2 linked regions of the Caenorhabditis elegans genome follow. The protein of the gene in region 1 interacts with the protein of each later gene in a biochemical or structural test. Each region holds a gene or a part of one and is shown on either strand. Other genes may lie near its edges.

Evidence for each region. Proteins that work in one complex are often made in the same cells at the same time.
Region 2: the proteins of tbb-2 (region 1) and ung-1 form a complex in vitro, tested with the Caenorhabditis elegans proteins (one large-scale study listed by BioGRID).

The regions. Positions count from the first base shown.
Region 1 is NC_003281.10:4,015,378-4,019,297, reverse strand, and holds tbb-2 (Tubulin beta-2 chain), read left to right. Parts: upstream 1-1,670; 5' UTR 1,671-1,675; coding exon 1,676-1,841; intron 1,842-1,913; coding exon 1,914-2,432; intron 2,433-2,509; coding exon 2,510-2,983; intron 2,984-3,038; coding exon 3,039-3,232; 3' UTR 3,233-3,388; downstream 3,389-3,920. Other genes in the region: C36E8.4 (SH3 domain-containing protein), read right to left, coding at 3,557-3,700, 3,750-3,902. UniProt on the Caenorhabditis elegans protein: Tubulin is the major constituent of microtubules, a cylinder consisting of laterally associated linear protofilaments composed of alpha- and beta-tubulin heterodimers.
Region 2 is NC_003281.10:11,970,922-11,975,597, reverse strand, and holds ung-1 (Uracil-DNA glycosylase), read left to right. Parts: upstream 1-1,507; 5' UTR 1,508-1,508; coding exon 1,509-1,567; intron 1,568-1,612; coding exon 1,613-2,285; intron 2,286-3,858; coding exon 3,859-3,975; 3' UTR 3,976-4,131; downstream 4,132-4,676. Other genes in the region: Y56A3A.31 (SOSS complex subunit A homolog), read right to left, coding at 1,072-1,092; Y56A3A.30 (SP-RING-type domain-containing protein), read left to right, coding at 1,339-1,394; Y56A3A.28 (C2H2-type domain-containing protein), read left to right, coding at 4,240-4,332. UniProt on the Caenorhabditis elegans protein: Excises uracil residues from the DNA which can arise as a result of misincorporation of dUMP residues by DNA polymerase or due to deamination of cytosine.

The DNA.
Region 1 (3,920 bases):
CAGTTGGCTAGTTCCTTAACTTCGTAAGCCAGGCGCGTCGTCTTTTCAAATTGCTAGATGGATGGGCACATTTTTTGAAATGCCTCGCCTGTGGCGGGTTGGTAAGGGACACCGCTGTCGCCCGTTGGTCAAGGCCGTCACAAAGCATTCGCGTCCCTGTCCATCCGAAACATAGAGGGCGCGGAGAGAAAAACGACGGGAGAAGGGAGGGAAGCACGGGCGGCGCCAGTCTCTATGTTTCTCGCTTGGTATAATGTGTCTCATCGACAACGGAAAGTGGGGGTAAGAGTAGAGCTCTTTTTCGTCCCCAGCGCCGACACACGACCCTTAACTCGACTTTTTTCGTCAGTTATTTCTTGGAATTTTTTTTTGAAGCTTCCCGTTGATTTGGATTGTATTTTAAAATCGTTATCCAACCAGCAACTGATCTAGATAGTACCCATTAACATTGTCTCCTGGCGCGTGTACTACGGTAATTGACCTTTCTCTGACTGGCTGCATGTGTGACGAAGTATTGGCTGCATATGTATCGTATTGTATAGGCGACCCCAAGCCGATTGTCACTGCCACGTCATCTCCGTTTCTCTTTTCTCCGCAATTCTCAATTCACCACCACCGCAGCCGTCAACAGGGGTACGATTTCCATCGCATTGAACTAGTTTTTGTCCCTCGTTTTTCTTCACGGTTCGTCTTCATCTCTTTTATTCTGAAGGCTTTTCAAAGCTGCAGGCCCCCAGCACATTTCATTCGGTTCCCATAGGATTACTGCGCGCCAAGCGGCATCTCCCTCTCTACCCCAAACCAATAGCACCAAATTGCACCCGATGAAAAGCCATCTGTGTCGTGTGCTCTATCTCCTTCTGCCAAACCTAGTGGTGACACGCAAAACAAATGGATTAAGCAAAAAGAGAGGGAATTGATGGACATTTTGTGTATGTTTCGCAATAGATTTGCCTCTGCTCTCTTCCTCTTCACCCATTCTACCCATATCTGCATATTTCGCAATAGTCTATTCGATTTCACCACCCTTTGCAGTCCAACAACGACTGCTGCCCCAGTGGCCACTGCGGTTTTTAATGCGAGCGGGCGCCGCGCGCCCCGTGTTCTCGCGATTATCGATCCGAATGCACACAGCGTCGGACACAACTGCGCCCGACCCGCCTCTTCTTCGTCTCCATTCCATACATCCCAAGAGCTGCATGTCTGCTCCTACAACGTCCTTTTGTTTCCTTTTTGGGGTAGCGATTATGAAAAGTGGGCTCATTTTAGAGCAAATAGAAAGGTACTTGCGCTGAAATTTTTATCGAAAGTAGTTAATTTCGGAGTGCAATAAACTAGAATCAACCTATATAGAATAGAAAAGAATCACCAATTAAACATCTCTTATATTTTTCAAGGTAACCTTATTCAACCTTATTCCTAATTCGTCTTTTAATTTCTTATTTTCGCCGTGAATCATTTAATTTCAGAGCACAATAAACTAGAATCAAATCACCAATTAAACATCTCTCAAATTTCAATGTATTAAAAAAACTTACTCCTTTAATTTTAAATTTTTGCCGTGAATCATTGCTTTTCAATATCGACCATGACGTGTTCTCTTTCTTTTGTTATTTTCCTTCATCTTCTCTATCTAAATATAGTTTTTCAATTCATTACGACCTTTTCAGCAAAAATGAGAGAGATCGTCCACGTGCAAGCCGGACAATGCGGAAACCAAATCGGATCCAAATTCTGGGAGGTCATCTCCGACGAGCACGGAATCCAGCCAGACGGAACCTTCAAGGGAGAGACGGATCTCCAGCTTGAGCGCATTGACGTCTACTACAACGAAGCCAACAGTGAGTTTTTAAAATTTTCTGGAGATTTCGAAATCGTTTAGTTGGAATGATTAATTAATTAAATTTTTTCAGACGGAAAGTATGTGCCACGCGCCGTGTTGGTCGATCTCGAACCAGGAACCATGGATTCTGTCCGCTCTGGACCATTCGGCCAGCTGTTCCGTCCTGACAACTTTGTGTTCGGACAAAGCGGAGCCGGAAACAACTGGGCCAAGGGTCACTACACAGAAGGAGCTGAGCTTGTCGACAATGTGCTTGACGTGATCCGCAAGGAAGCCGAAGGATGCGATTGTCTTCAAGGATTCCAACTCACTCACTCTCTCGGAGGAGGAACCGGATCTGGAATGGGAACACTTCTCATCTCCAAAATCCGCGAAGAGTACCCAGACAGAATCATGAGCTCATTCTCGGTTGTACCATCGCCAAAGGTGTCCGACACAGTTGTAGAACCATACAATGCCACCCTCTCCGTCCACCAGCTTGTTGAGAACACCGATGAGACCTACTGCATTGACAACGAGGCCCTCTACGACATCTGCTACCGTACCCTCAAACTCACCAACCCAACCTACGGTGATTTGAACCATCTTGGTAAGTTATTATTTCTTGTTCAAGTTTAAGTTATGCACAAGTTACCCAAATTGAAACCTAATAATTACAATTTTCAGTATCCCTCACCATGTCCGGAGTTACCACCTGTCTCCGATTCCCAGGACAGCTCAATGCCGATCTCCGCAAGCTTGCCGTCAACATGGTTCCATTCCCACGTCTTCACTTCTTCATGCCAGGATTCGCACCACTTTCCGCCAAGGGAACCCAGGCTTACCGTGCCCTTACCGTCGCCGAGCTCACCCAACAAATGTTCGATGCCAAGAACATGATGGCTGCCTGTGACCCAAGACACGGACGTTACCTGACCGTGGCCGCTATGTTCCGTGGACGCATGTCGATGAGAGAGGTTGACGAGCAAATGCTCAACGTTCAGAACAAGAACTCGTCCTACTTCGTCGAATGGATCCCGAACAACGTCAAGACCGCCGTTTGTGACATCCCACCAAGAGGACTCAAGATGGCTGCCACCTTCGTTGGAAACTCGACCGCTATCCAAGAGCTTTTCAAGCGTATCTCAGAGCAGTTCACTGGTAAGAAATTTGAAACTATCATCCAGTATCAGTTTTAAAAACGTTATTTTTTCAGCTATGTTCCGCCGCAAGGCTTTCCTCCATTGGTACACTGGAGAAGGAATGGACGAGATGGAGTTCACCGAAGCCGAGAGCAACATGAACGATCTCATCTCAGAATACCAACAATACCAAGAAGCAACTGCCGAAGACGACGTCGACGGATACGCTGAGGGAGAAGCTGGAGAGACTTACGAATCGGAGCAATAAATGCAAGATCCTTTCAAGCATTCCCTTCTTCTCTATCACTCTTCTTTCTTTTTGTCAAAAAATTCTCTCGCTAATTTATTTGCTTTTTTAATGTTATTATTTTATGACTTTTTATAGTCACTGAAAAGTTTGCATCTGAGTGAAGTGAATGCTATCAAAATGTGATTCTGTCTGATGTACTTTCACAATCTCTCTTCAATTCCATTTTGAAGTGCTTTAAACCCGAAAGGTTGAGAAAAATGCGAGCGCTCAAATATTTGTATTGTGTTCGTTGAGTGACCCAACAAAAAGAGGAAACTTTATTGTGCCGCCAAGAAAAAAGTCTCATTGCCTAAGAGAAACATATGTGGTTGGAAATCTTCCAGATCGTGGATCAATTGAAGAATTGTCATGTTGGCTTATAACGTGCCCAATGAGCCAATCATCTCCTATTCGATCCTCGACAAGAACACATTGACCTTCTCTAATCTTAAAATAATTCAGATTTATAATATAGATCTCAATTAAATAGAGCCACCTCAATCTCGTCAGCATGCTTCGGCTCAAAATCATAAAGAACTCTACAAATTGTCGGTGGACTTGAAGTGGGCTCATCGAAAGTTGTAGTTGTTCGAATAGGACCACCATTTGATGATGTTGTTGTTGTTGAGTAGAAACCGTCGTCGGATATCTGAAGATTGAAAAATGA
Region 2 (4,676 bases), 8.0 Mb from region 1:
CAAAAAATTTTAAAGGTGGACTACGCTTTGTGGGGAAATTGCTTTAAAATACGCCTATGGTACCACAATGACCGAATATCATGATTAAAAAATTCAAAAATTTTTTCTAAATTTTATATGATTTTTTGAAAATTGGAAAAATCACAGTTTTCCCCTAATTCCTATTTGAATTACCGCCAATTGAATTTGTTCGATGGGGCGCGCTTGCACGTTTTTAAATTTATTTATTTTATTTTTTGTTATTTTCCACCGATTTTTAATGTTTTCGGTGTATTTTTGCTCGAATTTTAGAGAAAAAGTCAAAATAAATGCAAATTTTCGATTAAAAAGTGCGCTTACAGGCGTAAATCAGTGAAATTAATTAATTCAGGTTCGAAATCGTTTAAAAGCGTTACTTTTTCATTTTTACGCCTGTAAGCGTGCTTTTTAATCGAAAATTTGCATTTATGTTGATTTTTTCTCTAAAATTCGAGCAAAAATACACCGAAAACATTAAAAATCGGTGGAAAATAACAAAAAATAAAATAAATAAATTTAAAAACGTGCAAGCGCGCCCCATCGAACAAATTCAATTGGCGGTAATTCAAATAGGAATTAGGGGAAAACTGTGATTTTTTCAATTTTCAAAAAATCATATAAAATTTATAAATTTTTTTTTGAATTTTTTATCATGAAATTCGGTCATTGTGGTACCATAGGCATGTTTTAAAGCAATTTCCCCACTAGCGCTACCCCACCTTTAAAGGAATTGTGAAAATTGTGAAAAAAAAAATCAAAATTTCGAAAAAAAAAGCGCTAATTTTAACTAAAATCTCTAATTTTGGCCACTTTTCCGTGCTGCAGCGTCCGAAAGTGCACTTTTTTTGAATTATTATTCTTATTATTATACATTAAAAACCCCCGTACTCCTCCAATAACGCCAATATTATCGACCATCTGGACGTGACCGCGTGCAACCACGGCCTAGCTGCCGCCACCCCATTCAAACGAGACATTTCGGCGGGAGAGTCCTTTTTTTCGATAATTCGGATTTTTTTGTCTGTTTCAAGTAATTTTCGCCATAAAAATTACCATTTTCTTCTTCGGTGCCATTTCTAATGATTTTCCAGTGCGTTTTGAGTCTGAAAGTTTGAAAATAAGAGTTTTTGCACAAAAATGTGTGAGAAAAGTTCAAGAAAATCGTCGAAAAATTCAATAAATTAATTTTAAAATTTAAAAAAAAATTAATTTTTTTTAAAAATCAATTCTGTGCATACACCGCCACGCAAAAGTGCACACAATTACCTACCGTAGTCAATGCGAAATTAAATGATTTTTATCGATTTTCTTCATTTTCAGGTTACGAATTCACCGGTTTGCCTGCAAATAACTCGAATAATTTCCCATTTTTGTGATTTAATTTTTCAAATATCCTTATCTATGCCCTCAGGTTTATTTTATCTCATTTCCACTCGTGTTTTTTGAATAAAAATTCTTTTTTTTTCTTCTAGATTTCCGTTTATTTCAGAATGTCGAAGACTGTAAGAATTCCGGACATGTTCCTCAAAGCATCCGCTGCCTCTAAACGGTATTTCCCGCTCTGAAAATTCAAAAAAAACCACCGAAATTTCAGAAAATCCGCTTCAAATACTGAAAATATTCCGGAAAAAGTTCCCGCGGGCAATGAAAATCAAGAAGTCAAGAAAATGAAGTTACAAGCACCAGAACCAACTGAAATTCTGCTAAAATCCCTGCTAACCGGTGAATCTTGGTCGAAACTTTTAGAGGAGGAATTCAAAAAAGGCTATATTTCGAAAATCGAGAAATTCTTGAATTCCGAAGTGAACAAGGGCAAGCAAGTGTTCCCACCGCCCACACAAATTTTCACAACATTCAATCTTCTGCCATTCGACGAGATCAGCGTGGTTATCATCGGTCAAGACCCCTATCACGATGATAATCAAGCTCACGGGCTCTCCTTCAGTGTTCAGAAGGGTGTAAAACCGCCGCCATCGCTGAAAAATATCTATAAAGAGCTTGAATCCGATATTGAAGGCTTCAAGCGGCCCGATCACGGGAACCTGCTCGGCTGGACACGTCAGGGAGTGTTCATGTTGAATGCCACGTTGACGGTTCGGGCTCACGAGGCGAATTCTCACGCGAAGATCGGCTGGCAAACTTTCACGGACACTGTTATTCGGATTATTTCGCGACAATCGGAGAAGCCTATTGTCTTTTTGTTATGGGGAGGATTTGCTCATAAGAAGGAAGAACTGATTGATACAAAGAAACATGTAGTTATAAAGGTCATTATTTTTCTGGATAGAATTCTGGAAAAAGCATGGAAAAGTTGATTTTAAGATTTTTTCCCTAAAAATGTGTTGGAAAACGACAAAAATTGCCGATTTTCACCTGTAAAATCGGAAATTTTGCGATTTTGCTGGAAATTTAGGTAAAAATTGCCAGAAAACCTAGAAAAAAATTCAAGATTTTCCCATAAAATGGTAGTAAAATTGTCACTTTTCAGTTAAAAACTAAAAAAAATTCAGGGGTTTGCTCTAAATTTTCCCCTGATTCCGAATATCTATGTGAAAAATTGGAAAAAAACGTCCCTTTTATTGTAGAAAATCGACGATTTTCAAACGCGCGCCAGAGAGCCAGAGACGATTCTCATTGGAACGCACCGTGTTGTGTCGATTTACGAGATTTGTTTTTTTAAAGCCAATTTTTTGCTGTTTCTTCATTTTTTTTTTCGGTTTTTTGAACATTTTATTATTATAAAACTCGCAAAATTTCCTTATTTTTAGATGGAAAATGATTTAAATTCAGAGAAAAAAAACCGAATTTTTTCGATTTTTTCAAAGAAAATCGGAATTTTTCTTCTTTTTTTTTTTAAATAGAAAACCGGAATTTTTCTATTTCTTTCCAGAGAAAATCGGAATTTTTTCGTTTTTTTTAATTTTTTTCAAAGAAAATCGGAATTTTTTCGATTTTTTTTTTGATTTTTTAGAGAAAATCGGAATATTTTCGATTTTTTCAAAGAAAATCGGAATTTTTTCCATTTTTTCATATAGTTTTCCAGAGAAAATCGGAATTTTTTCCATTTTTTAAAAGAGAAAATCGGAATTTTTTTGAAATTTTTAAGGAGAAAATTAGAATTTTTTCGATTTTTTAAAAGAGAAAATTAAAATTTTTTTTTTCTATTTTTTCAGAGAAAAATCGAAAAACAGAAATTGTTTTTTAATCGAAAAAAAAATTCGAGAAAATTTCTATTTAAAAACTCCAATTTTCTCTTTAAAAACTCAAAAAATTCCGATTTTCTCTGAATTTACCTCCTTTTTCATCTAAAAATAGGAAATTTTCGCGGTTTTCTGATCATAAAATGTTCAATTGGCTCGAAAATACACAATTTTCAACGAAAAAAACCGATAAAAATGAATAAAAAGCTGAAAGCTGGCTCGTAAATCGGCACAAGACACAGCGCGCTTCAATGTCTGGCGCGCGTTTGAAAATCGTCGATTTTCTACAATAAAAGGGACTTTTTTTTCCAATTTTTCACATAGATATTTTAAACAAGGAGCAAATTTGGAGCAAAACCTGGAGAATCTTGTTTTTTTTTTTGGTTTTTAACTGAAAATTGACAATTTTACTACAATTTTGTGGGAAATTCTTGAATTTTTTAAAGTTTTTCTGGCAATTTTTGACATTTTCCACCAAAATTTAAATTAATTTCAAAGGGAAAAATTGATTGGTTTCAGACGTGGAAAATCGCAAAATTTTTGATTTTTGTGAAAAAAAAAACCTATTTTTTAGCGTATTTTAAAAATATTTCCACTAAACTCAAATTTAATTTTTTAAAAAATTTTAAAAAATTTCCAGACCGCCCATCCGTCTCCGCTGAGTGCTCGCAAGTGGTGGGGATGCAAATGCTTCTCGAAATGCAACACGGAGCTCGAAAATTCCGGTCGAAACCCGATTAATTGGGCGGATTTATGAATAAATTCTCCTGTCGAACACCCTGCGTCTCTTCATCTCACACACTCTCTCGCCACTCACTGAAGAACTCTGTTATTTATCGATTTTTCTATTTTCTCTTCATTTTTCCTCATTTTTTCCTCATTTTTTCGGTTTTTCATCATAAAAATTCGATTTTCTGGCCATTTTTTTGTTCAATTTCCAATTTTTCATTCGTTTCAACGATTTTTAAATGCTTTTCACGGAAATTGCAGCGAAAAATTGTTTTTTTAACAGAAAAAAAGAATGCGGCGACAAAAAACCGAAGAGGAACGGAGCTGGACTTCAATTTCTCGGCATTTTTTATGCCTTGAATGTAGAAAATATTTCCGGAATAAGGTAGAGAAGATAATATTCTAATTAAATCGCAGAAAATATATTAAAAATTGAAAAAAAAAAACCGATTTTTCCCAAAAAATATATTAAAAAACCGAAAAAATTCCAATTTCTTCTTTAAAAAAATTTAAAAACATTGAAAAATGCTAATTTTTCTTATAAAAAACGAGAAAATTCCGATTTTTCTCTAAAAATATATTAAAAATTGAAATTATTCCGATTTTTCAGTAAAAATATCAAAAAATCAGATTTTTCTCTAAAAATACATTAAAAAATCAGATTTTTCTCTAAAAATACATTAAAAAATCCGTTTTTTTTTTAAATTTATATTAAAAATCGAAAAATTC